Lytechinus pictus: one gene and its partners. The protein of the gene in region 1 binds, or shares a complex with, the protein of each later gene. Links are inferred from orthologs where the notes say so. Each region holds a gene or a part of one and is shown in the gene's direction. Other genes may lie near its edges.

The links.
Region 2: trafficking protein particle complex subunit 9-like (region 1) and trafficking protein particle complex subunit 12-like share a complex: the UniProt entries of both Homo sapiens proteins name them as parts of the multisubunit TRAPP (transport protein particle) complex. The link is inferred for Lytechinus pictus from reciprocal best matches to the Homo sapiens genes TRAPPC9 and TRAPPC12.
Region 3: trafficking protein particle complex subunit 9-like (region 1) and trafficking protein particle complex subunit 8-like share a complex: the UniProt entries of both Homo sapiens proteins name them as parts of the multisubunit TRAPP (transport protein particle) complex. The link is inferred for Lytechinus pictus from reciprocal best matches to the Homo sapiens genes TRAPPC9 and TRAPPC8.
Region 4: trafficking protein particle complex subunit 9-like (region 1) and trafficking protein particle complex subunit 11-like share a complex: the UniProt entries of both Homo sapiens proteins name them as parts of the multisubunit TRAPP (transport protein particle) complex. The link is inferred for Lytechinus pictus from reciprocal best matches to the Homo sapiens genes TRAPPC9 and TRAPPC11.

The regions. Positions count from the first base shown.
Region 1 is NC_087245.1:18,182,098-18,189,153, forward strand, and holds the start of trafficking protein particle complex subunit 9-like, read left to right. Parts: upstream 1-4,037; 5' UTR 4,038-4,090; intron 4,091-5,801; 5' UTR 5,802-5,872; coding exon 5,873-6,468; intron 6,469-7,056. UniProt on the Homo sapiens protein: Functions as an activator of NF-kappa-B through increased phosphorylation of the IKK complex. May function in neuronal cells differentiation. May play a role in vesicular transport from endoplasmic reticulum to Golgi.
Region 2 is NC_087261.1:4,625,816-4,633,565, reverse strand, and holds the start of trafficking protein particle complex subunit 12-like, read left to right. Parts: upstream 1-4,733; 5' UTR 4,734-4,891; intron 4,892-7,750. UniProt on the Homo sapiens protein: Component of the TRAPP complex, which is involved in endoplasmic reticulum to Golgi apparatus trafficking at a very early stage.
Region 3 is NC_087246.1:37,676,265-37,683,274, reverse strand, and holds the start of trafficking protein particle complex subunit 8-like, read left to right. Parts: upstream 1-4,000; 5' UTR 4,001-4,287; coding exon 4,288-4,450; intron 4,451-7,010. UniProt on the Homo sapiens protein: Plays a role in endoplasmic reticulum to Golgi apparatus trafficking at a very early stage. Maintains together with TBC1D14 the cycling pool of ATG9 required for initiation of autophagy. Involved in collagen secretion.
Region 4 is NC_087246.1:18,601,239-18,608,612, reverse strand, and holds the start of trafficking protein particle complex subunit 11-like, read left to right. Parts: upstream 1-4,349; 5' UTR 4,350-4,425; intron 4,426-4,535; 5' UTR 4,536-4,558; coding exon 4,559-4,837; intron 4,838-7,374. UniProt on the Homo sapiens protein: Involved in endoplasmic reticulum to Golgi apparatus trafficking at a very early stage.

The DNA.
Region 1 (7,056 bases):
AAAATATTGATATGGTGGTCCACTTTAAAGGCACCCATTTTCAAGCACGATTCTGTCACCGAAAAATTTTCATCATGAGAGGTCCTATTCCCCTGCCCTTTAATTTGACAAGGGAACCATTCTCTCTCTTCCTCTCCTCGCTCTGGTTTATTATCAAATATGTGCGTTTTGTGTGATAAGCTGTCCTCTTTATTTCCTTTCAGTACGAATTTCTCCCCCGAATTTCAGTTGTGATAATTTCATTCCTCAATCATCCAGCATTAGTCATAAAATGTTGTGTTGGAAAGGAGAAAAATAAAAATAGAATGGTGAATGTTTGAAAGAAATCGGACAAGCAATAAGAAAGTTATGGCTGTTTTAAACTTGGGATCCCTAAGAGTGTAGATTTCAAATTGGTAACTGGGTAAGTAAATTGTGACAAGGTGCAAGGACAATTTCCCAGAGGTAGAGAACTTGGTTATCAGGGATTTGTGCACTCTACAAAATTTTGGGTAAAGTGCTCCATGAGAGGGTAATTATGTGTCCAACCAACATTGGGCATTTTTATTTATCAAGTGTGATGAATATTTTACCCATTCTAAAGTAATTGCTGCTTACTTGTTAACCTTACTGGACAATATGCTTCCCGCATTGGGTAAAATACTGCCCCAAATTGGTTGAACACAATTACCCTCGTAGTGGTAAAAATTTTACCCAATGTTTTTTACAGTGTGGTTTTTGCTTTAGTACCCATTTCCCTGGGGCAGTAATCTAAATATAACACATGAAGTATATTATTTTATGTCATCATGGAACAAAGATAGAATTTGAAGTAAATCTTTTGAAGAAAAAAAACATTTTAGCTATTTTATGTATCGGAGTACATGGAAGAGTAGTCCTTTGACTTACATCACTATGACATCACACATGCGACCAATTTGAAGTCTCCATGGGTATAGTGATTACCAAGTTTTACAACTTCTAAATATTCATAACTTTCTTATTATTTGTCCGAACTTGTCTGATTTTTCTTTTTTCTCTAAAAAAACATGTTTTTATTTGGATTGGATTCCCCCTCAAGGTGAAGTCTACCCCAAACATATAATGAAATATTTATCATAATTGGATGTAAAAATAAGAAATTTGTGTGATTGCTTTGCAAAATAATGAAGTGAAACAGTTTGATACCTCCCTGAACTTGTGATGGATGTGGCATTCATGCTGTATCCTATTGGGATTCAATGGAGAGTTTTCTGTAAAAATATATTCTCTTCCACTGGAATTATATCACTGTGCTGTGCACATACATGTCAGTGAAAATTTGTAATGACGTGATACAATTGTCTTACTTTACATCCGATTTTAAAGAATATGGCTATTATGCTTTTCATATAGTCATTGAAAAGAGGCGGCATAATGATATATTAATAGGAAGCAAGACGACACAAAGTCATATTTTTTCTCTCACTTGTTCTCACTTGAATGATAGCATTACACTATCCATATTTCCTACTCTTTCTCTCCACCCCCACAGGGGCCGGGGGGGGGGGCTGGGGGCCCCACTTTTTTCCAAAACTGTACAAAAAGTAAAAATGACCATAATTATGATTGTGATTTTTAGCATGATCAGCCCCCCACTTTTGGCTCAGCCCCCCCCCCCCCCCCCCACTTTGAAAACTGTTCCGCGGCCTCTGCCCCATGACCTAAACCACTTACGTCACACCTCCCCGCCAAGCTCGCTGAACAGGGGCGGATCGGTGATTTCTAAAAGCTGGTCCTGATTTACCTTAACGTCACTCAACAATAGTGGGGTATAGTTGATTTTTTTTTAATTGATGGTCAAAAGCTTAAAACAGAAGAAAAATAGTATTTCCAAATAAACGATTATTACAAACATTTATCACTTAAAAAAGGGAATTAGGTTCTTCTCTTAAACAGGGAGGGAAGTGCCAATTTCGGACTCAATAGAAGGGATCTCTTTTCCATGTTCCCCTGGAAATCCGCACCTTTCACGGAATCTAAGTGAAGGGGTAAGCAGTAGCGTATACGCAGGATTTTTGAAGAGGGGTTCGAGTAGAATGAAAATTTGACAAGCAAAAAAAAAGAGAGAGAAGGGTTTCCACCCGATGACAATTTTACAAGCAACAAAAGAAAAAAGTTTTCAAAAAATCTGAGTAGGGGTTTGACACCTGTTACCTCCCCCTGCGTACGCGTCTCAAGGGGTAAGAATCATCCTCCAAGAATTCTCTTCCATATCTTTTAGAATTCCATCAACCTAAAGGAATTAGTCGTTTCCTTTTTTCATCGAAAATTTTGGAGGTAGATACAATAAAGATTTTGTACACGAATCCTTTCCTCGCATTCTTTTACAGAATAGAAAAAAAATCATACTGTAAGATAAAAACATACTAGAAGCTTCATGTCTATCAATGTTTGACATTTTTGTGAAAACGTTACATTTTTGTAAATAATCTAGTACTTTGTACCGTGGGCGGGGCAAGAACTTTTAAAGAAGTTTCTAGATCAGGGGCGGATCCAGGATTTTTGAAGGGGTGTGTCACATTATCCCGAGGAAAAATTTGATACATTTCGAAAATTTGACAAGCAAAAAAAAAAAGGTCCTCACTTTCAAAAGGGAAGGAATATATTCCCCCTAAAAAAAAATGTTGAATCTAGAACACTGGCGGATCCACGGGAGGAGGGGGGCCGGGGCACAGCCGGCCCGTGCCTCCCTCATTTTGAGAGGCACAATTTCTATTCTCTCCTCTTCCGATTTTCTCAGTTATTCACCGCAAATAGGGGGCCGCAGTCGTCTTATCATTGTCCTTCATAATCTAGTCATTTTTGTATCGTGGGCGGGGCAAGATTTTCCAAAGGGGGGGGGGGCACATTTTCATGAGGCTGTTCTAATTCAAGGTTTATGTATTGGATGTAGAAAGCACTTACATCAATTCTCATTTTGTCAACCCTTCCTTTTTTTATTCTTTCTTCCTTTATTTTATTTTCCTTTTCCATTTCCATGTTCTTCTCCTTCCCCCTTCGGCCCGTCATTGATTCATCATGCCTCTCTCGGCCTATAGTCAGGTTATATCCTTTTCAAGTGACTGACTCATTTTCAGGAAAATGGCTTTCGTTTTCAGATTTATTAGCTCGATCCGAGTTTCTTTAGCTTATATATTATATCTAAAGCAGAACAATTCAAAATTCACTATTTTCAGAATTCTTTCAGTCTGGAGTACCCATTTAACTTTTAAATGTTCCACGAGCAAAATTTTAGATCACGTTGCACATTTGCAGGAATACTTCTATTTCGTATTAAAAAATACAAAAGGAAAAGGGCCTAGTAAATATTAAGGGGCATATATACAGGCCATGCTGATACGCATAATTCGATTTGATGGAATCATCGGTGATATGCTTCTTGATAGTTCATAAGTTCATGAAATTTATTTCCACATTTAATACAAATATGTCAAAGGCACCATTACAGAGGAAAATGACATAACGTCAGAATACAAAAGAATAAAAAGCAAAGTTAACAATATACCCCCAATACAATACAGAAAAAAAAATATATTATATGTCTAGAATGTCGGGGAGCAACAAAGGTCAAAGATCTATCGAGGTTGCTCCCATGTGGTTAAGAAAGATAGATATTAAAAAAAAATCATACATTTGAATCATTTTTGTTGGGTTTTTATTTGAAATTTCAGGAGATACTGCACTGTACACATCCAGAGCCAAAAAAGGTAAAAATTAAAGAAATTTCCTTTTTGAAGATCGAGGGCCAGGCTGGTATGTACTTTCCGGTCAAATTTAAGCTAAATAAAGGAGGAATTTGGTAGAGTATGGTTCGGGAACGAAGTTCATGATTTTTCTTCCAGTGAACAATATGAATATAAATGACTATGAATACTTGAATACTATTTAGTCAGTTTAGTGTGCAGTCCAATTGATGTCTTTTGTTTACTCTTGTGGATGATTGGTTCACTGAGTATTTGTACCATAGTAGCTACCATGATCTTCTGAAAATCTCAGTAATTGAAGTTTTGATCGGTAACTTCAATCGTGGGAGTGTATAATTGCCGTGATCGAGTTCTTCTTATTTCCAGTGAGTAAATTCATTAATAAATCGCACTTTCTTTTTATTTTCACGTTGTGTGTAGTGAATATAAGCAACCCACATACCTGGTCTATTACAAAAGTCCATACACTAATGTCAATCTCAGCGGTGAACACAGGGAATTTAATGACAAAATATGGAAGTTACTATTTTGCGTCTTTTTTTTATAGTCTGCTCTGTCACCTCTGAGTCTGACTGACTCGACTCTGTCTGACTCAGTTTGAGTCGTTTGCATCGATCCTAATGTCTTAATGACAATGTGAATGTTACACAATGGGTGATTTCAAGTACGGTGTTGAAATCTGGTGTTGGTGTTGTGACAACACCATGCACCAGCCACAACACCGTACTTGAAATCAGGCTGGTGTTGGGTCTGGGATTGACCTCGGAAAATATGACGTATTTCTGGCAGTTCGTGTTGAATGCTGCCTTGGTGTTGAATTAGCCTGGAGGCGTCTGGGGAGTGAAAGTACCGTAAGGATACTAGTATTCAACCCGTTTGGAGAGTTTCTTCAAATAAATAACAGAAATATGGAATTTACCTGAATTTCATACCTTGGCTTTGGCTTTGTTATTTCCATTTCCAGGGTAGGTTGTCGGTATTTTTTTAAAGACCAGGGGAGCGTTTCATGAAAGGACCTGTCAGACGTTTTATCCGACAAGTCCTATTTTATCCGACAGTTACTATAGTAATAGTGCTTCTCAACCAATCAGAATCCAGGAAAGTTGTCAGATCTGACAACTTGTCGGACGAAAATATTGATGAAACGCCCCCCTGGTCCTGGATGGGATGAGGGTTGATTCGTGACCTTGAACTTGGCAACTTTTAGAAAAAATCCAACTTTGAGGGCGCCCTACAAGAAATCGACGCGCATGGTAGGGCCAATTTTTTGTAGGTCTGTTGAGCAAGTCATACTCTTCAAATATGCATAATATTGGGTTCTAAGCTAATTGGATTTGGAAGTTATGAGCCTCCAAACATGCACCCAAAAACATTGACTTGGACACTTAACACCATTTTCGGCGACCTTGTGCGCAATAACGGCTGGTCAGATCCACGTCATATTATATTGTGTGTATTAAGACTATAAAGTTCTTCCAATTTACAGAGAACACTGCGTCATCAAACTTGGCTCCAGCAGTCAATCAAAAATAGCTAATTTTATTTAAACTTTATTGTTTGGCCACGCATTGGTTGCTAAGGGAGGCCATATCTCAGCAACTGTTTGACCTTGGGGCAAAATATTTCAGTTTTTTCCGTCAGACACTTGGGGAACATTTGGTGAGAGTTTAAAGAAAATCGAAGGGGGTCGGGTGACAAATTGTCTAAAAATTTGTTGATTTGACGTGGATTGACCCAAATAACAACACTTTCGAAATAAAAGCAAATAACAATCATCAATTTGCTTTTATTTTATAAGTCACAATTAGCTTAGGCGAGCGAAAAATTGCTCAACCTGAAAGGGATTAAGGTGAATGGTAGCGAGTGATTGCTCTCGCTCCCCTTAAAATTGAGTCCCTGAAGGCACACCTGACTTTTTCTGTTTTTTTAAATAAGGGAAAAGGTGTGTCCTATACACCAGAAATACAGTTGAAATCTGTATCGACCATCTTTGTTGACCACGTTTTCAAAACAACCTTTGTGATTTTGGTTTAATGTGTTTAATTGTATTTTTTTTCCTCTCAATTATTTTTAAAGGAAATGATTCTTCTTCGATTGAAGACATGGAGATGAATTGTCCCTGAACTTGTGAAATTTCTTTTACCATCATGAGTATTGCTGACTACACTCAAACCCCTGAGGACCATCAGGCTTTTCTTGTGACAGTGAAACCAGTGGGAGCAGTCAAAGTCCAGGCATTTTCCAGGATCATCAACCGCATCACCAGTGTTTCGTATGTGCGGGTGCCCGACAACAAACGTGGCATCTGGCTCAGATACAAGCGTCTTGTCCACTTAGAAAACAATGAGTGGGGCGACTTCCAGGTCCATCGACGTGTCGCCGGCCTCATCTGCTTGGGAAAGGCATCGTCGGAGATTGAACTCGCCACCGTGTATGCAAACTTTGACACAATGAAGGAAACTTTTCGGAGCACGCTATTTGACTCTAGGTGTTTTGTTTTTGGGATGTCAGAGGAGACGGTGCAGGAGAGTGCGTCTGGAGTCAGACCTGATGCTGTGTATTACAAGAGTATGGAAGACTGTGATCAATTGGAGGATGATGTCAAAGAATTTGCTTCAGCGCTGTTCTGGGTGTTGGAATCCAAGCGTCTTGATAAAACAAATACCAGCAGAAATGACAAGCTCCCTCTCTTAATGGCACCATTCGAGCGGAAGGATATTGTTGGCATTGATACGGAGACAAGGTAATGATGCTTGTACTTCTACATTTTCTGTATTTTCCTTGTGAACATATTCCGATAGCACATGATGAAAAATTTCCACAGACCAAATCGGACATTATTTGGCCCATGATGGCTCAAGCTCATGCAGCTTGAATGCCTATTTAGCCCTATTGAACGCCCTGTATAATAAATTTTTGGAACCTGGGTCTAGCCATTTCATAACGCTGTTCATATCTTAATAGAGCATTATGGTCCTCCCTTGGCAAATTGACACTGATTTCAATTGGGCTAAAGAAGGTATTCGTGTGGCAACATATCAGGGCCTACATGAACCGCTTTCCACCAAATTTGGACTGTTACTATTTTTCATCATGCTCTAATGAGATATGGTTTCCAAAATGCTGAAGTGCAAGAAATTTATTTTTATGAAATTATTGCTTGTACATGTACTCTAATCTGAGCTATTGAAAAAAATAGACATACATGTAGGCTGTAATCTTGACAACTTCTTCTTAACCACAATTTTTGTCTCACCTGCATAGCAGAGTGAGACTATAGGCGCCGCTTTTCCGACGGCGGCGGCGACGGCGGCGGCGGCGGCGGCGACGG
Region 2 (7,750 bases), on another chromosome or scaffold:
CACACGTACAACTCTCCCATTTGGACACCGAAAATATACCCCAAAACATCTTTTTTTGCTCATTCTAATCATATGACAAACGATTCATCAATGATATAATGTTGTGAAACCTCTGTACTTGTCATCTCATAAAGAGAACACCTCACCTTGTGATAGAGACTCTATAAAAGTGAGAATATAAGTGAAATAAGTACTAAAGTAATGAGGGAGTTGTACGTGTGTGATATCACAGATCTTGGTCGCATTGCCGTTGGGAGGATCTACATGGCACTAGTGATCTCAATATTCGAATGCTCATAACTTTCTTATTATTCATTCAATCTTCCTCAAACTTTCAACAATATGTTTCTTTGATTTTTCTCTTTGATATGGATTCAGCTGGTTTCAAGGGTTTCATTCTCCTTTAAAGGACGAGTCCACCCCACCATTAGTTGATTTGAATAAAAAGAGAAAATTTCAACAAGCATAACACTGAAAATTTCATCTAAATTGGGTGTAAAATAAGAAAGTTATGACATTTTAAAATTTTGCTTAATTTCACAAAACAATTATATGTACATCCTGGTCAGTATGCAAATGAGGAGACTGATGATGTCATCCACTCACTATTTTTTTGTATTTTATTATATGAAATATGAAATATTCAAATTTTCTCCTCATTGTCAAACAAAGATTAATTCCTCCCTGAACATGTGGAATTAACATTTTATAATACCATATGGTTCAGTCAAGTTGGTCTCTTTTGTCAAATCTGTAAAAAATAAAATATTGTATAATTCAAAGAATAAAAAACAAAAGAAATAGTGAGTGATGGACGTCATCGACTGTCTCATTTGCATGTCACTGAGATGTGCATGTAACATCCGATTTTGATGAAATTTTTAGCGTTTTGCTCGTTGGATTTGTCTCTATTTATTCAAATCATCATTTTTCTGGACTGGACTTGACCTTTAACTGGGCGTTGTGGCATGCGCCTTTAATCCAAGCTATATCATTTACTGTATGTGGGGAAGTTACAAATATTGATGCAGAGGTTCGAGCCCCGGTCACGTCTTTCGGATGGCGACGTTAAAGGTCCCAGACGTAAATAGGCCTAATATCCGATTGATACTGATATACACGTCTGAAAAAACTCAAATGAAGAGTTTGGTTGCAAAAGGGGTTAGACTCCGAGAAAAGCCACGTTTTTATTCTCACTTATCGCAATATTCTTATGAGAAACAAAATTGTAAAGATGTACTACCCTATCGTTAATTGGGTATACCTGCACGTCTTCAAATTTTTCTATATGTTTTTTTTTAAATATCATTGCGGACCTAACCCCTTTTGCAAGCAAACTGAAATGAATCCATAACCTTTTTTATTACAAAATATATGTTTCTTTGCCGCTTTTATTCACGTTTTCATGTGAATTTCAAATTTTCTTTGGTATCATCATAGCGACTAAAAATTTAGAGGTTTTGAGACAGAAAACAATAAGATTTATGAAAAATGGAACTAACCCCTTTTGAGAAATGAGCTCTTCAAAAGAATTTGGTTGCAAAACATGCAAAAGGGAGTCCACTCCAAGGAAATCGTTTTTTTTTATCTTATGCGAAACTAAATTTTCATGATACCCTACCATGAGAATGTAAAATTGGGTGTAACAAGAAATATCTACCTGTCTTCATAGTTTTTAAAATATTCTTTTCCAATGAAAAAATCTGTGTGGATCGACCTAACCCCTTTTGCAACCAAACTGAAATGGACCTAACCCCTTTTGAAAAAAAGTGATTTTTCTTTGCCATTTTAGTTCACTTTTTGATGGGAATTTTCTTTGGTATCATCTTACATGTATATAGCTACTAAAAATCTATATATTGAGACCAAAAAATAAAATTTGATGAAAAATTGACCTAACTTCTTTTGCAAGTGAGCTCTTCAAATACACATGTACGTTGGGAAATGACTCTGAATACAGGTACGACCTGGGTTTGTTACAAAAAAAAATTGAGAGCTTTTCTTGTAGGATGTGGAAAATATTATGGTTTAGGCCTATTTCTTTATCTTCAGCCTGCAACCATCATAGCACTGTGATTTTATGTCGTCACTCGTGCCCTAGATGACGAGGTTTTGCGGGACATGAAATATCCGACAAAATTGTCGTTTTCTTGCAAAATTTCAATCAAATCAAAATTTCATATCAAATTACAACCGGCAGGCAAAAAATGTTCATTCGACCCAACCCATTCTCAATAAATTTTTTAATTTGATATTGCTGATTGACGAAAATGAATGAATATGATTGACAATCTAACACTGATTCTAGGGAGGGTACCTACTGAACTTGCTTTTTCCAAATTGGAAAGATATATCACTACCAACTATTTTTGCTGGCGGAAGAATTAGGGCCATTTTACTCTCTCAAGTGATGAATTTGACCCATAGAGATTATAGAGTAGTTATTAGTGTATATCTCTATGATGACATTCATTCCATTGCTTGTTTTTATGGGCAATACGTCATGATATTGACTATTTATGCCACCCACTGTAAGAAAATTAGGGTGACAATTTATTTAGTATCATTATATTTATATTTTTTAATTTCTTTTATATTCATTCTTACCTTACCTTACCTTACCTTACCGCAAATACTGGAAGAATGCTGAATTAGCAGTCGAGCTTCCAGGTCTATCTTCTAATTTTGTCAGCTTCCTTCATGCTTCAATAAGTTTCAATAAGTTTAAGGAGGCAGTGGGGCAAGTTGGTGAAAATTGACTTCTCATATCCAGTTATTCTTGTTTTTCTATTAAAAAAATAAATACATGTGAAACAAAAAATAACTGAGGTATAAGATATCAACAAACAATAGGGGGATTACTTCCCGAAAACGACAAGTTTGTTGATCGACGATCTATGAGATATTATATAAAATAAAAACATTATAACACGAGGGGATAACTAGTAAATTAAGAGGCTTTTTATAGGAGGAAATTATAATTTGTTAACAAATTTTCGGCATTTGAATATTAATGAATATTAATGAGTCAGAAAGAAGAGGATCGAGGGTATTTGAATTCCAGTTCATCGTGGCTTAGCCGTGAACCAGAATAGCCTGGTGGTTGAGTCGCTGCCCGGAAAGCAGTAGATGGCAGGTTCGAATCCCACTGGTTCCAATTTTTTCTGACTTATGATCATATGATTTTCATACTGATCTTATGATTTTCATTTACAGATCGAGCATACTGATCTTAAACAAATAGGAGTAATGCCGAAAATTTGTTAACAAATTATAATTTCCTCCTATAAAAAAGCCTCTTAATTTACTATCTATTGTCCACGGCGGACGGTATTTGAATATTAATGAGTCAGAAAGAAGAGGATCGAGGGTATTTGAATTCCAGTTCATCGTGGCTTAGCCGTGAACCAGAATAGCCTGGTGGTTGAGTCGCTGCCCGGAAAGCAGTAGATGGCAGGTTCGAATCCCACTGGTTCCAATTTTTTCTGACTTATGATCATATGATTTTCATTACAGATCGAGCATACTGATCTTATGATTTTCATTTACAGATCGAGCATACTGATCTTAAACAAATAGGAGTAATGCCGAAAAAAAATTGTTAACAAACGAGGGGATAACGTTTTAATAAGTTTTTCGGTACTTTGAATTCTCAGCTAGTGTACCAAGCACCAAAAAAATCTGCATTTTTTTGTAAAGATTAGTTATACAATTCCAATATCTCAGTGGCCTAAGATATATTTTCTGGGGTTATATTGACCCGTAAACAGCGAGAGAGATTTATGTGATCAAGAAGTGATAAGATAGAAAAAACTGATTTGAAATGAATGAAAGAGAGACAGGCAAAGAAGAAGAGCCCCCTCCCACACCCGTACCAGAATTACGGGTCCTGTCGGTGGAGTCGAGATCCCGTCAGGTGTAGTCTTCATAAATGCTGATTTATTTTTAAAATGAGCCGGTCGAGGTACCCTTTTCTGGTCAGATATGGAATGTCAGACATTTATCCTATCGAGTGATAGTAAACATTTAACCCTCGAATTTCCTCCTTATTTTTTTAAGAATGCTTTTTAAAGTGCCACTTTAACACACGAGTCTATGGGAAATGAATTAGGCCTGTGATATGATGCCTAAGTATTAAAGGGGAATCCAACCCAAATGAAAACTTGTTTTTAGAGGAAAAAGTAAATTCAGACAAGCTGATAGGTGAAAGTTTGAATAATATTGGACAAACAATAAAAAAGCTATGATTATTTAAAAGCTGTAAATATTGGTATTCACTATACCATGGAGACTTCAAATTGGCCGCATATATGATGTCATAGTGATTTAAGGCAAGGACTACTCTTCCATGTACTGAAATACACGAAATGGCTAAAATGTCATTATTTTCAAAAGTCATACTTCAAATTGTAATTTTCTTTCATGAGGACATAAAACAATATGCTACCTGGGTCATATTTAGATTACTGCCCCAAGGGAAAGGGTACTTAGGAGAAAACCGCAAATCCCTGATAATTAAGTACAATGGCCTATGAGAAAGTTGTCATTGCCCCTTGTCATAATTTTCTTACTCATTTGCCAATTTGAAATCTACATAGTATAGGGATCTCGATTTTAAAACAGCCATAACTTTCTTATTGCTTATCCGATTTCTTTCAAACTTTCACCGTTCTTTTTTATTCATTTTCTTCTTTCCAACACAACATTTTATGACCAAGGCTGGATTCCCCTTTAACGCGAACGTTGTACCGGTAGAGGGCAGCATTCAATTCTATAGCTGGAACGTTAACAATACTTGCTCCCGACGCAGATCCGGAGATTTGGTCCAAATTCTAATTAAATCGGTAATAATTAACGTTAAAAGACTGAAATAACCCCTTTAAACGAGCTGGTAAGTCAAATCAAATATGGTAACAGTTATATCTATCGTACCCCACTCGCATGTAACTTAATATGACTCCCCAAAACTGTACTGAACTGAGTGAAGGACGCCTAACTTAAGTTAACCCTAACGTACCGGTACCGTACCACTCCGCGGCACTTGCCGGTAACCCGGCCCAGGGCCAGGGAGCTCGCTCCCGCCCGCAGCGCAGCTCCTTACCTAGACCAAAAGCTTCGGTCTCTGTTAAGTGTTATGTTGGTTGTTCAGCTGAACTCCGTTGGCTTCACTCACCAAATACAGAGACCGAAGTTCTAGCGCGATCTGTACAGGGGACTCAATGGCCATATGTTTATGTACTTAAGATCGGATAAAACGGGGAAGTGAATTTGCGCGACAGCCGAGGTAAGTCACTGTTTTTGTTCCTTTTAACTTGATTTTTCTCAGTTTTTTGGCAATTGATGCCAAGAGGGAATATTAATTTGCATTTTGGTCGCGTGAATTTTCAAAATTTTTACTCATTAAAGACAAAAATTGAAGAGCCCCGACGGGGGGATTTTGCATTGCAAGTCCCCTAATGGTGGCTGCACGCTAGCGAGCCGTCTGTGTATGAGGAGAAATTAAAAAAAAATAAAATGTTAAAAAACTCCTCGAAACAGACGGCTGCCAGCTGTCTACTCCTTACCTAGACAGGAATAACCGTCGTTTCTGGGGATTTATTCAACAATTTCTGACATTTTACTGTAATCCCCATTTACCGACGGTAGGGTGTACGTGTGGGCTCGCATGTGTTCTCATTCCCTCCCTTTTGTCAATTCACAGTCCAAAGTTTGATGTAATTTTACACATCGAATTTACAATCTAAGGATGTATAAACAACAAACTTTTAGACCTTGATATTCGAATATTTAAATACTTTAAACGATATAGATGAAAAAGGCATGAAAAATATACTTTACCGATGTTTAATTGGGTTGAACACGATAAAAATGGTCAAAATGGCAGCCAAACTATAAAATATTTACAAACGAACGTCAACAATCACGAATGTGATATCGATATTGCTTTCGATATTATACGATCTGCTCCATATGCAAACGAAACCGAAGATAAACGATACTAGTTATACTAGTACTAGTACTAGTTATAATCGCGATATATCGATTCGAGACATTAAGTTAATAACGATAATGACGTCATTCAAGATGGCAACTTGCTAGAAAAACGGTCAGGTCAGGTGAAAATGTCTTAGATGACAGATTTCTCAATCATCCAGAGGATTTTTTTCAATAACTCCGGCCCAAGGTATGCAATTACTTAATTTATTTATATTTCCCTGATAATGGAAACCATGAAACTTTCAATTTTGCTTAAAAAACAGTTTTAAATCGCGATCTATAAAACGCTAGTTCACTATACGTTGGCTGTAGGTACGGGGCCCCATCCCCTTCAGTCTATGTATGGTGAGTGGAGCCAACGTAGTTCAGCGGAACAACCAAATTACAGAGACTGAAGCTTTTGGTCTACTCCTTACCGGGCTGGAGCCCAGGAGTCGTCCGTGTAACTAGGCAGACAAGTACAAGGGTACTCTTCAAAATGGCTTAAAATGGGGTCGCAATAGCACTCAAAATAAAAGGGGAAAAATAAATTATGCAATTACGGTACCTCGATGAAGCCAAGGCAAGGACAAGGTCTACCGAAATGACATTTGACACAGAGTCTGGCTTAGCCTTAGCCTAGGCTTAGCCAGGCGGCTTCTAACAGAGAGTAAAAATCATAATACTAACGTAAGGTTACTCTCATACGAAGCCAGGACTTCTACCTCATAGACCCACACAAAGGAAGCCAAAACCTGAAACTTTCACCCCCAAGATTTCTACTTCTAAAAGATCTAGGTCCTAGCTCTGGTCAGTAGAGGTGCATGGCCAATATTGGGAGACTCCAATAAGGGAGACAATCTCCCACATTGGAGACTTGCTTTGCAAAGAACAAAAGAAACAACACCAACAAAAGCATCATTTTTTCCACCCAAAATTTGTCTCGGAGGTCGGAAGCCCATTTGTGTGTGGATGACAACAAAAGTCCTCATAAAAACAATAGACTAGTAGACAGTGAATTTTTAAAGTAGGGCCTAGATGGTGAAAAGGGGTAATTTTTCATGAGGAATCTGCTTATCACATTTTTATATGCCGCCAAGGTAATCCTTTTGCAGCAAATATAAACAAAGAAAATTGGTCTCCCAAACTGGAGACTGTCTGAAATTGGATACCCAAATTCTTTACAAAAGTCTCTGATATTGGAGATAATCTCTCTCATGGGAGACAGTCTCCCGTATTGGCCGTGTGCCTCTACTGCTGGTGCACGAAGATCATGTCTCCCCTTCTCCTGTACAGCAGGGAGTACAAGTTCAATTTTGTAAGTCTGTCTTTATATGGGACGTTCTTCAGCTCTCTAACCAGCTTGGTTGCCCTTCTTTGGACCCTTTCAATCCTCCTTGCATCTTCTTTGTATCTGTTGTGCCAGAGGACACTCCCATATTCAAGGTGGGGTCTTAGGGTTTTGAAGAGCAGAGGCAGAGTTGTCCTTGTGAGTTGAGTGAAGGTTCTTTTCATTACGGCGAGGAGTTGGTATGCCTTGCTAACTCCTGATGACACATGCTGGTGACCCTAAAAAAAAAGGAAATGTTATTGTTACTTTTTTTAGATCTAGAATAACTGCATCTGTGCGTGGCTGGGGATTGGTGTTAGCCTTGAGGACTCCATGTCTGATATTTTTTAATATTTTGACATATATACTTCTTTAGAGCTCTATGGAGCCTCGAACCACCGGCCATATATTATAACTAGGCTATAATCATGATAATAAGAGACT
Region 3 (7,010 bases), on another chromosome or scaffold:
GCATAGGCGGATCCAGGGGGGCCGAGGGGCACAGCCCCCCCCCCCCCCTATTGGCGGAGCAAAAAACAGGGAAAAAGGATGAAATAAATAAAAAAAAAGGAGGGAAAAGAGAGGAGAAAAAAGTAGAGGAGGAAGACGAGTGAATAAAATAAGATGAGGGGAAGACATGGAAATAAAAAGAATCTTTCATGTCACTATATAAAATTTTCGCTCGCGCTTCGCGCTCGTATTGCCTGTTCGGGGATTTTCATATCTTGTTCAATACGGAGTTTAAATATCAAGTTTGGAAGTCAATATACAAAACGTATTTCATCTCGAGAATCAAACTTTCATCTTTTTGCGTGATTTACATATTGATTTTTAAAAAGTGCTCTGTAAATATGACAGTTTTATGGTCTGAATATTAATATTTTCTGCTAGCGCTGCGCGCTCGCAAATTTCGATTCATCAGGTACCTATTATTTTCGTGTATTCCATAAAGTTTTCAAAATATCCCTTTTCAGGTCTGATTGTCAAAACGTATCAGCTAGCGCTGCACGCTCGCATTTTGAATGTATGTCTCAATATTGATTATACATGTACATTCCCCTTTTCATGACAATTAAGGCTCGCAATTTGCGCTCGCATTAATGGTTAGAAATATATTGACTGATGCATCCTATTTATAGTTACAAAAGTGCTTCAAATGTCCAGTTTTCAGGCCATAATATCATCAGACTTCGCGCCCTCATTAGGCATTAATGAATAAAATATTAATTTAATAATTGAATTGTCCCTTTTGTTTCATCTCGCGCTTAGCAAGAGTAATAGGAAGACAGTCATCATTTTCATATGATGACATGTCCTACACTGTTAAAAAAAAGCCCTGATTTTACAGAAAAAACAGAAGATTTTGCAAAAGCAATAACAGAATCATTCCGTAAATTCATAAAACAGGATTTTTTCTGCAATTTAATAGAACAGGTCTGTTTAAAAAGGGGAAAAGGCTGTTTTATTTAAGGAAATTTGTAAAGTTCCATACACCAAATACCAATTTCCTGTAAGATTACGCAATCTGGTAAGATTACAGGTGTTCTCGAGACTCTGCTGCAGGAACTTCTTTTATTCAAATTTTCTAGCAGTGTAAGGATGTGCCGGTCCTATGTCAAAACTCAAAGTAATTATAATGAAAAATATCAACTCTTTATTAAGTGCGATCCATATCCTTTTTCCTCAATAATTACTTTCCCTTTTTATCTTGAATATTGTAGTAATTATTGCAAATGTTAAATTATTATTCATATATTGTACGCGCTATGGTACTTTTTGTTTTTAGCGCCTCTAAATATCCATTATTATTATTATTATCCACCTCACAATTTAATTCCGCCCCCCCCCCCCTATTGGCGAAGGCTGGATCAGCCCCTGGAACAAGATATGAAAATCACCTAACAGGCAATGCGAGCGTGAAGCGCAAGCGAAAATTTTATATAGTGGCATGAAAGATTCTTTTTATTTCCACGTCTTCCCCTCATCTTATTTTATTCACTCGTCTTCCTCCTCTTCTTTTTTATCTCCTCTCTTTTCCCTCCTCTTTTTTTAATTCTTTCTTCCCTTTTCCCCTTTTTTTTGCTCCGCCAGTAGGGGGAGGGGCCTGGGCCCCTGGGCCCCCCTGGATCCGCCTATGCATATGGATAGCAGTGGACATCGTTCTGTCGTTTCAATGGTTTATTTTCAATTGATCTAATGCCAACTCGATCGTCTGCTATCATTAGGTCTACCATCAATTCGTCCACTATCCACATAGTCTAACTGCCATTTCGCCTAATAACCAGTTGGACCAATTGCCATTTAGTCCATATGCCATTTGGTCTAATTGGACTAAGAGTTAATTGGGCGAAATTAAGGAAAATAAAATTGATATTAGACCAGCTAGTTATCATGAGACGAAATATGGTTATAGACGAAGTGGTGATTAGACGAAGTGATGACATGGACCAAATGGTTATTGGACCATATGGTTGTTAGGCGAAAAGTTGATGGACAAAATTGCATTAGACTAAATGAAGGTAGACCCTGTTGTGAGTGGAGGAATTAGCAGCAGACGAATTGGTTTCAACCCGCATACCGCCCAGGCAAGCAAAACAAATTCACGACGAAATTGGCGACGTCGTGAGTTTATCATTTTTTCCCGACAGTCTGCATGCAGTCCAGTGTTTGTTTTCCCTTTCTCTGAAACTCTTTCTTCTTTTGCCCCTTCCCCCTTGTTTCTCTCTTTCCTTTTTTCTCTTTTCTTTCCCTTTTTTCGCTTTATTTTTTATTTTTTGCCTGTGACTCGTCAGGGGGGGGGGCAGTTTGCCCCCTGCCCCCCCTTAGGTACGCTAGTAGGCCCTTTTTAACATTTCAAGAGCTTTTTTTGTTTCTCTCTTTTGAATTCGATTTTTGGGGTTATTTCACTCACAAACCCACCTCACCCCCCTCCCTACGCACACACACATATAATTTTCGGTAACCATAATTTTATAATCATGAATGTAATTTTATTTGTAGAATGCATTGGTAAGCACTTTCTGCAATATACCCTGTTATTATCAGTAGCGTATAGCAACATCCCACGTTGGAGGGGACATGGACAATTTACTGCCCCTGAGGGATTTTCATTTAGAATTTTTCAAATTCACCAGTTAAAGGGAAATTAGACTCGGAGAAAATGAAAAGTATGCCTACTCAGGGCAGACTAATGAAAAAGGACTCTGAAAGGGTGAAAGGAAAAAAAGTAGGGCTAATAAAAGAGAGGGAGAGAGAGAGGGAGAGAGCCGCGGGGGGGGGGGGGGGGTAGGAGGAAAAAAGAGGGGGGAGGCGGCAGGAAACCGGAAGAATGGGGGAATGAAGGAAAGTGAAGGAACATTGGAAAGAAAAGGTACTGAAAGAAAATGAGAAAATAGGCCCTTAAAACATGATATGCTATAGGCGGGATCGAGAGCGGGAGAGAGAGGGGAACACGTGAAATGATAAAAAAAATGAATGGCAATTAAAGGATGAATAAAGCCCACTATGCGATTCGTTGCGATCCGAATTTCAAAGAAATTGCAATAACAGTCTTGATATGAACATTCCAACCAATATAATCTTAACAATCAGAATTCAGAATTGTGATAGGAAATCGGAATTCAGTCAAGTTCGATCGAGCCTCCCCGTAGGTATAAAGCAAAATCAATTTCAAATCGCAATGACGTCATCATCGCCTCCGACTTGGAGCCGAAGTTGGACAAAACTCCGAACACAGGGCTTGCCGCATAGCAAAATTATGATTTTATAATTCCTAACATTATGACGAATTTCAAGTAAAATAATTTTGCTTCTTGGAAATGTCACATTTAATGCAAAATTCAATTTATTGAAAAAAAATCGCGTCGCATCGGATCGCATAGTGGTTCCATAATTCTATATGACATTTGCCCCGGCTCCGCTGTAAATTTCAAACACTATGGATGACAAACTTCAACCCTATATAGCTGGAATATTGCAACCCTAGCCTTATCACCGCAATGGACAGGGGATGAGGGGCAAAAAACAAAAAAAAACTAACATAAAATTAAGGGAGGATGAAATAGAGAAAACGTTATCATCATGTTCAAGTCTTTAGGACTTCGAAATACCCCAACCAAGATCTTGAGCAGCCGAAAACAGTGGACTAATCTGCCCCGCCCCCCTTAATTGGAGCGATGATATCTGCTAATTGGTTCCCATTGGTCCATGTTTTCTTCAAAATTTGACCCCAGACCTCGTCATAAACATAAACATACATGTATTTAGTGTATCAACATCTCATCAATAATATACGAATGAATATCTGTCTAATTTTAATTAGGCAATGGGCAATCAGTGGCATTAGAATCTCAGTGACTGTAACGGAACTTGAAACAAAACTCAAAAGCGCCATCTCGTTCGTTTCTAACTTTTTTTTCGCTGGTTCCCTATTTTACATTCTTTTATGTGGTGTTTCCTATCCTCACCCGTTGGCGTAGCGAAGTGTGGCGTATGCTAGTGCAAAATAATGGCGACTGCCTGTTTCATCGGATGATCATAGGCATAGCTGAGCCTGAACTTGTGCAAAAAAAGGGAAAGGGGAAAATACTGGCTCTGGGAGAGCTGAGATTGCTAGGCTTGATGATATCAGACGGATATGTGATAACATGTGGTGATTATCATAATTTATATGTTGACTTTCAAAGCAAGGAGGACAAGAAGAAGCTGTGCAGTGTAGTTTGAGTTTTGTGTTTGTCTCGGGATCAGACGCCGGATTCAATGAGAATGGCGCAGTGCTCGCAAAGTGCCAGGGAGTTTATTCAGAACACTTTTGGACCAACTGTGGCAGTTGCATGCAGTCATGATGCAGAAGTTCTTGCACAAAAGAACAATTTATCTTTTGTGGAAATGGTCAGGCCATTTTGCAGACTAACTTCAGAAGGTATTCCTCCTGTTCATGATGAATTAGATCTAGGCCTAAATTGAAAAAAACAAAAAAGTGAAATGAATTATGAATATGATTAACATTGTGAAAATCACCCTGTCCCTGACAAAAATTTGTATAAATGAAATATCGGTGAAGGTTTTAGGAAAATCCAAAGTTAGAATTATGATAATCAGTAGAGGCGCACGGCCAATATGGGAGACTCTCTCTCCAATAGGGGAGACAATCTCCCACATTCACATTGGAGACTTGCTTTGCAAAAGGACAAAAGAAACAACACCAACAAAAGCATGATTTTTTCCACCCAAAATTTTGTTTCACTGAGGTCAGAAGCCCATTTGTTTTGTGTGTGATTGACAACAAAAATCCTTATCAAAACAAAAGTAGACGGTGAATTTTTAAAGTAGACGGTGAAAAGGGGTAATTTTCACGAGGAATCTGCTTATCACATTTTTATTTGCCGCCAAGGTAATCCTTTTGCAGCAAATGCAAACAAAGAAATAGGTCTCCAAAACTGGAGACTGTCTCTGAAATTGGATACCCAAATTCTTTACAAAAGTCTCTGATATTGGAGATAATCTCCCACATTGGAGACAGTCTCCAATATTGGCCGTGCGCCTCTACTGATAATTGATATTTTGATTTGTCATTTTGTGACATCATGACAGAGTCCAACTGCTTAAGTTCTGTTCAGTAGAGGCGCTGGTCAGAAAATTGGGATCGTCCCAGTTTTCAGGGACTGTCTCACTCTTCTCTTGTCTTAGTTTTCAGAGATTTCTCCACACAAGAAATCTAGGAAAATTTCATTCACCTGTCAAGTGCTGACATCAATTGAGTGCGCTAGTCAATGTAAACTCATTAGGTTTCATAACAAGATTATTGGAACTTGGAAGATGGCAAGTCGTGAAAAATAGACAGTGATCTAGGGGTTATTGAGGTCACTGAATCTATTTTTAGCACTCTCAATCCCCGTAATTGCCATCTGTGTCCCACAGGGGTAAGTGAAAAAAAAAACTGTCCCCATAATAAACAAGGACAATCTCAATTTATCAAGACATGATTTGTCTTGGTTTTTGAGGATATCCTTTTTTTTTTCCGGGACAATCTCTTGTTTCCTTCCTCCGTTAATGTCGGAGATCGCTGATAACAGTAAAAAAAAATGACTGAAGACGCTTCCTATGGGTTGCTAGAGTTAGGTTGCTGAGAAGGTTTTGGTGAGTTGTGTGAAGATTGCGAATGAAGTATAAAATAAGAGTGTGGAGCTAGGTTTTACTGGCACTGCTGATGCGTACAGGGGGAAGAAAGAGGATGATACATTCTAGAAAGGACTGGGGGTCTGCCTCAAATAAACCTGCAAATTGTGCGGTATTGTCGTTGTCCTTAATGCGATTGATGAGGTCACGGGGCACAGGTGCAGTGGCCGGACAGGATGAGACAGTGTTCAACATCTTCTCTATTTAGGAACATGGTTGACAGATGTCATCAGAACCCTTTCTAATTCTGACAAGTCTGGCCTAAACTTTGCATGAGATCTAGGCTCTGATGGTGATAGCTGGTCTCAGGGTGGGATTAGCTATATGTCCAGGATACAAGTCAGTAGCCTTAGGCTTTGGTCTTCTGGTTCATAATGAGAGTGAACTTTTCTTACAGAGAGAGCCTCACTTTGCCTGGACTCTGATGTTCTAGTCACTGCTAACACCACCATGTGTTACCAAAGGCTTTAGGTTGGAGGTTTTTACCAAAAGCTCATCTAACGGAGGAAGATTAAGCATCCTGAGAACAAGGCACCATTGTTGAACTGAAGGGGTGTTTGGCACAGATGCTATGAAGAAATAGCCTTCATTCTGTTCTATCAGGGGCAACGTTCAGGATCTGTCCTAAAAGCAAGAGCTTCTTTTTCATAACCAGAAGACTTAACTTCACTTAAGGCATTATGTCTGTCAGGATGTACACAGATTCATCAGCTGCAGATACTGGAAACCCCAGTCCCAATTTTTGGACCAGCGCCTCTACTGAAGTTAGGCCTAAAAAGGTTGGACCTAAGTGAGTCTATGCAAACAGCCATAGAAAAAAGTTGTTCCAAACAGTGCGCTATTCTCAACAAGTTGGTGTCGATGTGTTCGTCAAAGACATTTTACTGACCCAACCATTCAGATTCAGACCCTAGATCTAAATTATGATCATGATATAGATATAGTCTAGTAGAGGTCTAGATCTAGATCTAAAAAATTGGTAAAACTAAAACTGAAAATCAATGAAATTTCATTTTCTAAAAAAGATTAAAAATTGTTTTTATTATTCCTTAAATCTATATCAATAGGGAAATTATTTCACACCTGCTGCTGAAAGAAAAAGAAGTCACAAAACATTAAAAACTTAAGAAAATTGACAATTTAGTGTAGATCTAGATATAAGAACTAAGATGCATATTTATATTATAACATTGGGGCAGTTGCTCGCTTATGACATCACATATCAAAAACTCAAAATTCTAATATTACTTTTCTTGATCTTTGATGGATTTTCCTCGAACCTTCACTGATATTTTTTTTCAGGG
Region 4 (7,374 bases), on another chromosome or scaffold:
GTCAATCAGAATCAAGGTTGCCATGGTAGTTGCCATAATGGCAAAGTTTCAACAGTTGTAACTCTTTATGAAATGGGGCCCAGATTTTTGTGAAGACTTGATCTTGTTTTTTTTTCATATTTTGGTCATTAATTCATTTCATTTGATCTACCATCAATTTGGGCTTATTGCCATTTAGTCTGCATTTCGCTTGGTCCAATACCCACTAGTCTAATTTGCACATGCCCAGTTGGTTGAATTTCCACTTTGTTTCTTATTATTTTATACTTTCTCAAATGAAAATTTGGTAAATGAGCAGTTTGTCTAACCATATAGACTAACCAAGTGATATATGGGTAAAGCTAAAACGGGGGGTGGGGGGGGGGGGGCGTTTCATAAAGCTGTTTGTAAGTTAAGAGCAACTTTAAGAACGACCAGTGATCCTTTCTTATGCACTTAACCATCGCCAATGAATATACCATTTACCACAAGAAAGGATCACCAGTCATTCTTAAAGTCGTTCTTAACTTACGAACAGCTTTATGAAACACCCACTTGGGATAAGACAAAATGGTAAACAGAATATAGAGTGGCAAATATACTGAAAGGTTATTTGGTGAATTTGTTGTAGATGAAGGAGGATGAGAGTAAGACCATCTGAGATAAGATCACATGGGCAATAAACAAAATGGTTGTTCACCAATTGGCAGTTTACCCATCATATTACATTACCTGTGTGGCCATAGATTTTACCACTTCTTGTATTCTTTTAGAAATTCATTACATCTTTGGCCAGATTTTGTTTGGAGGGGGTGGGGTTCTAATTACACCTTTGATTTTCGTTTTTTATACGGCTTTCAATTGTAGTTGGATTCCCTTTTAATTCATACACACTTTATTGAAAGAAAAAAGTCAATCGTATAATTTTTCTTTGAGTGGATGCACATTCAAGCTAAGCCTAAGGTTGTTGTTCTTATTTAGCCTGTTCATTTAGAATGGTATGTTAAAAGTGAATTGATAAGTTATTTCCAGTGTTTAAAAATATTCCAGCATTTATTTTTATACAGTATGTGTATGTATGTTTGTAGCTGTGAAAATAATTGTATTAGATGTGCCTGACTTTTTTTTGTTACAAGAGCATGCAATATTTGATTTTTAGAATTTAGATTGAGCTTCCAAGGATAAAATTTATTAAGGTTGAAAAACGCAATGAGTGGTATCGGATTGCATTGTACTGAAGAAATATGTGAAGACTAGATCGATATTATGTAAATATTACAAAAATGTAGACAGAATTACCTCAAACTACTCAAACAATTGTGTGATTTAGGTTTCTACTTATTTGGCCAAGTTTGATATGTACCGGTATGTCTTCATGAGAAATTATCTTTTCAAATGATCAATAATGATAATAATAGTAACAATATAAACAACTCTCAATGTTGGATGTGTGTGATTAAAAGATTATTGCAACATAGTACTTCTTGTTTGTTACACAATTTCAATTTCACTGCCAAAATAAGTTAATTTTTTATAGGCCTTGTTGACTTTTTAAAAATAAGCTGTAATTACCCCCAAAAGTTGACCCTTCTTTTTCTTTTTTCCAAGACTTTGCGCAAGGCTCCACCCTAACTTTTTTTTATGGCCCGATCAGTCCACCAAAATCATTGGTTCTAATTATCAATAATAGTTTATTATGGCAGTCTTGTTTGTGATTTCATAAAACAGACCTCAGACTAATTCTGCAAGAATATGTTTTGTGATTGAACAATAATACAATGTGTTTTGTTCATCTTAATCTATCATTTGTTATCCATGCAATATAAATTCAGGTGACAAATTAGTACTTTATGTGCAACAAATATTTTCTGAATAGTGTACTACATACTGCAGAATTTTAGTTTAGTTTATGGTTGATTTGCTGAATTATCTTTGCAATAGAGGTTCAACTATCCTGATATATTTTATATTATTAGTGATTAATTCAATAACATTTATAAAATTTGAGTTTATATGGTTTTATATGGTTTATCTCATTTTGTATTTCTCATTAGAGATGTAAGTGTACAAAAACTAAAAGTATTATTTGTATTAATTTAGTATGGAAATGTATTTTCACCCATACTTGGAGTTCAGTTGATCTGAAACCTATGTATTTCTGTATGAATATTTCCTTGTAAATTCATATTATTTATAGTATACAAACCAGAATTTGAAAAGAATATAAGGAAATCCTGTGTTTTCAAGCTTCGATACTTTTTATCTATGACTCCTCCAAATGCGGCTTAGTAATTTTAATTTCATGTTAATCACACGTTTTTATGAATTAATTGTGAAATGTTTTAGAAAACTTTTTAGAGAAATATTTCATGAAGTAATTTTGGTTCCATTTCCTATATATTTTAAGAAATCATTTTTTTTGCCATCTTTGATTATTTGAAAACCCAATCAAGAGTATGGTTTGTGTATACCATTATGGTCTTTTAATATTTGACAGGTCAAATGATATTTTTCAAAATTTTATATTATGTAGAAATGACTACATGAATTTACATTTTATTGCAATTGTGTAATGTTTTTTTCTTTCTTTTAGAGTTGCTGCCTTCATGATGTCATTACTTGGCAAATGTTATTTACTTATATTCTTGTCTAAGAAATAGAGAATAATGGTTTGTGGAAATTAGCATGTATTGCTTTATAAAGACATTTATGGAAACCTAATTTTGTTTTGAGTGACGTCTCCCCTTTGACTTTTCTATAAAAAAAAATTAACTGTAGGAAAAAAAGGAAATTGAGGGAATGTTTGGTGTTGTTGCATTGGAAAAGATTGTTTATATTAACTTGGAGATGAATGGCGTATAAGAGTAATTGTGTTTGATTGGTGATGCTGAATGGAAGTATAAGACATGGTATCTGAACAGGGTTTTTTTGCTCTGTAGTATACATCAAATTGTGCTTTGAGTTAAATGCTATTGCCCATTTCCCATTTATTTCTGAAAAAAAATATTTAAAAATTTTTGTTTATCCTTATTTCTTTAGCAGCATATCATTTAAACATCCCCATGAGTTTAATGGGCTTATCATTATTGTATACACTGTAAAAAAAGTGGGATTGAAACAACAGACACTTGTTCTTGTCCCCAGAGGACCATACCCTGAGGTATTAAAGTCCTACACCAGGGCCCCGTCTTACAAAGAGTTATGATTGATCCAATCAATCTCAAGTATATGGAAATCCATCAATGTCATAATTTTTTTCTTTGGGAAATTTCATCAATGTCCTTTGAAAACTAAAAGAAGCACACTGAATTGTCAAGAAAACAGTGTATGAATATAAGTCATTTCTAGAAAATATTTTGAACAAAAATGTATTTTACATGTTGACGTTGCTGGCTTTCCATAGTTGTGATTGATCGGATCAATCGCAAGTCTTTGTAAGACGGGACCCTGATTGTTTGAACATTGCCCTCAGACTGGAGTAATATTACTTGTATGGTTCTCATTATACACTGGTAAGCACCACATGTACAGTTTTGCTGTGTATTGATCCCACCGCTGCCACCAATGTGAAGTGATATCATATTTCATAATACTTTTGCATATGATAAGCAAATATCCTGCAGTAATTTAGGTTTGGTGAAATGAATAAAAATTAAAGGAGAAAGCAAAGATGGAGACAATGATAAAAAGTGATGTCTTGATAATTGTTGAAAATGCCACTATTTGGGAATTGGTCCTTTAGGTAGATGATTTTTTCTGAAAGTTTTTAAAAGTAATTAAATCCAAGAAATTAAATGATTAATTGGCACATTATAATACGTGAATATATCAAGTGGATGGAATGGGCTTAGCCTTACTGGAAATAGACAAAATTTAAAATCGTGATAGGCTATATGGCATTTGGACTAAATGCGTAGAGTAGACAAACTTTTGAGCGAATATGATATGTGGGATGAGACCAAACTGGTTTGGAATGAAGTAGGATTAGACAAGGGATGATCAATTGGACGAAGTGGGTGGAGACTATAATGACATGTTGATGTGGAGGATATCTGGGACCTATTTATTAATCAGATAAGGTCTGGACTTGCTTAAATAATCATTTTTTTTTAATTATCAGACCTTGTAGCATTTTAATTTTGATACCCTTAAGAGTAGAAGTGACAGTTTAAAAACTGGGATATAAAAATCATGAACAAAAAACGTATTATTTGGGGAAATTAATACACAACATTCATTTGCAACGAAGCAATCTGTATGATCAAAAGGAATCAATACCTCTGCCTATAAAATGATAATTAAATGAGCAGGGGCGAGGTTGCCTACCCCCGCCCCACCCCAAAATATATGACAAAAAATAATATCCAACCAGAGTAGTAAATAAACAACGCACACACGCCATCTACGACGTCAACTGACGACTGTTTTGCTGATCAAGGAAAGTAGGTGTGTACCTTTTCGTTTTTGTTCTTTATTTCAATTTGTATAAAGTTCATGATGAATTGTTTATATTTTATCACAATTTTGCATATGATTTTATCCCTTTTCCACTTTAGTTTCCTTAGACTGGCTTGTAGAAATGACCGAACCCGATGCCGCAGCTGTCGCTGCAGATGTGCAGCCCACTTCAAGTTCTACGTCGCCCATCGGACGACCATCTCCCGGTCCCGGGAATCTGTCGGCGGAGATCACCTCCAGGCCGTTGGGGCTTGTTGTGCTGACTGGATTGGACGTGACGTATAACGCCATTCACAGAGCAATTTGGGATTCGTTTAGCGCCAACCGTAGACCAGATAGAGTACCACTGAATTTCAAATCACTACCAGCTGACCATGAATATCCAAAGTGTCGGTCAAAGGTAGGCCCACTCGCTTTTTGGTAACCCAGTCCCAGAATCCGACCTGAATCCGACCACTCAAACAAGTTAAACTCAAACTCGGAGTCAAAGTTAAACAGAGGCAAATGCAACCACAAATCATGGCCCTAGGCCGAACATCATCAATCGATATGTCCCGGATCCCCCCCAAAAAAATGAAAGAGGAAAGTAAGCAACTACCTCAATTCGATGGATCTTCGTTTTTCTGTTCGCTCCCCTCAAATCGTGATCCAAATTTTTTTTTTCCCTGAATAAAGTGAGAAAGAAATCTGTACAAAAGTACATGAAAAATGACAAAACATGTATGGATTCGCATGCACAGGAATTGTCTTTGCTTGTAGTATGACAGTGAGTCCAAACTTCGCGCGTGTCCATACTTCGCGGACGGTCATTATCTAAAAAACTAGCCAATATTCTTAAAATCTGACATCATCAACGTGAAAAGCGACCTAAAATTACCCTTTGGTGTAAGTTTCTTTAGGATGAGTTCAGTATTCATGAAAATATTGGCAAAAGATCGGCAAATTTGTCACTGTTGGCGCCCGTTTTGAAGAAATCTGATATTTTCAACAAGCATCACGATATCACCATTTTGCAAGCAGAAATTATCAAAAATGTGAGTTAAATGTGGTACTAACCGATTCTATAGCAATTTGCCGTCAATCTGATATAAATATTTCATTTTTTGAGCTTGAGTTTTTGTTTAAATGTCCACAAAAACTTTGGTCCGCGAAGTTAGGTCACACTTTTTCTGAACGGTTTTCCAGCACAGCGCTCATTCGCCGATCGGAATAGAATTTTGAGATCGCGATACTGGCGAATCCCCTTGACCTACTTTACATTTTCGTCCATGATTTTACAGTTTACGATCTTGCCGTAAATGTGGTAACTATTTCTTGAATTGGTTTTGTATAAATTATGAATATTTTGTGAACAAATTTAAGCCTGATAAATATTTTTGAAAAGTGCGCGAAGTTTGGACACCCCATCATACAGGTATGTGTTTCCTTTATGCAGAGCTCAAAAGCAGGAAATTCACTTGTCTCAATGCCATGCATATGAGTACGAAAATAGATCTTAATAAATGAATTGAACATTGCCAACTGCCTGAGATTAATATACTTCAATCACATCAATAATTGTATAGGCCTTTAATTACTTAAAATTGTACACTTTGTATCATTTGTAAATTGATTAACTGATATATATCTCTATCAGGAATATGTGTAAGGCATGATATTGTGATTGTACTTTTCAGATTATTTGGCAAATCATTCAATAATACTAAAAATGATGGCGTGTTTCACAATGACAATAATCAAATAGCTACATGCATTTTAGAGCAGTTGAAAAAAAAAAAAGAATAGAAGGATGATGTACTCTTTACGAATCAACATTGTATCATAGTGTTCTAATTTTCATCTTCAATATTAAGTAACTCTTTTTCTTTTTTACCTTAGTGATAGTGATGATTTAGACTACTCTACAGAAAGTAATGTCTTTAAAAGCTATTAAAAGGATTCTATTAGCATACAAATTTCAGCAGAGTATAGTAGAACTGAGTACTAAAGAGAGAGAAAGTTGTTGTTTATACTTTATTAAAATCTCTTTTGGAAAGATCTGTCTGATGAGTTCTTTTAAATTCTTGGTGTAAACTGTATGATTGTCATGGAAGAGGTGTTGATGTTGAATTGATCCAACTTTAAAATTGAATTTCTTTATTGCTTAGTAAATAGTTTGCTCACCTGCTTTTTAAATTTCAAATTTTAATACTGAAAGTATAACCAACGTATAATTTTTCTGTATTCCTAATTTCCTATTATACAGTATATTCTTTGAAACTATCATTTTATCATTTGTCTCAGGTCAGTATTTATGTTCTACACATCTAACACTAACCCAGGGAGCTCAGGCTGGCTTCGCGGGCCGGAGCTCGCTGGGTTAATCTAACACATGTATGAAAAAAATGCTGTGAACTTAGTATTCCTTAAACAGGAACTACTCCGGGGGGGGGGGGGGGGCACTTCCATTGACAAGTGGATACCATGCGCGACCATGGGGTCTCGAAAAGCACCCTAAACACGTATTTTCCATATTCTGAAAATGCACCCACTAACAAGTATTGGCGTGTGAAATCCTACCCTTAATAAGTATTGGAAACAAAACGATACTATTGGCAAGTATTCCGTGAATTGAACCCCTAAACAAGTACAGTTTATTTCAATTGTATGTCGCGGACGTCTGTCGTCGGTTTTACCTTTACCTATACATCATTGGGTTTAGTACATGTAGTACAGCCCCACCTCCCACACCTCGCATAAATCGTACTCTAAACAGGTAGTGTTGACGCTTGGGGCAAAAAGTACATCTTTTATAAAACATTTAATTCTTAATTTTTTATACCCTCGCAAATTTGACCCTAAACACGTAGCTTTCCCTTTAAAATAGATAACCTTTTTTCATTATTTTAGTGTTTTTGATACCCTTATTACGTTACGTACGTAACGTGCCCTATCTTG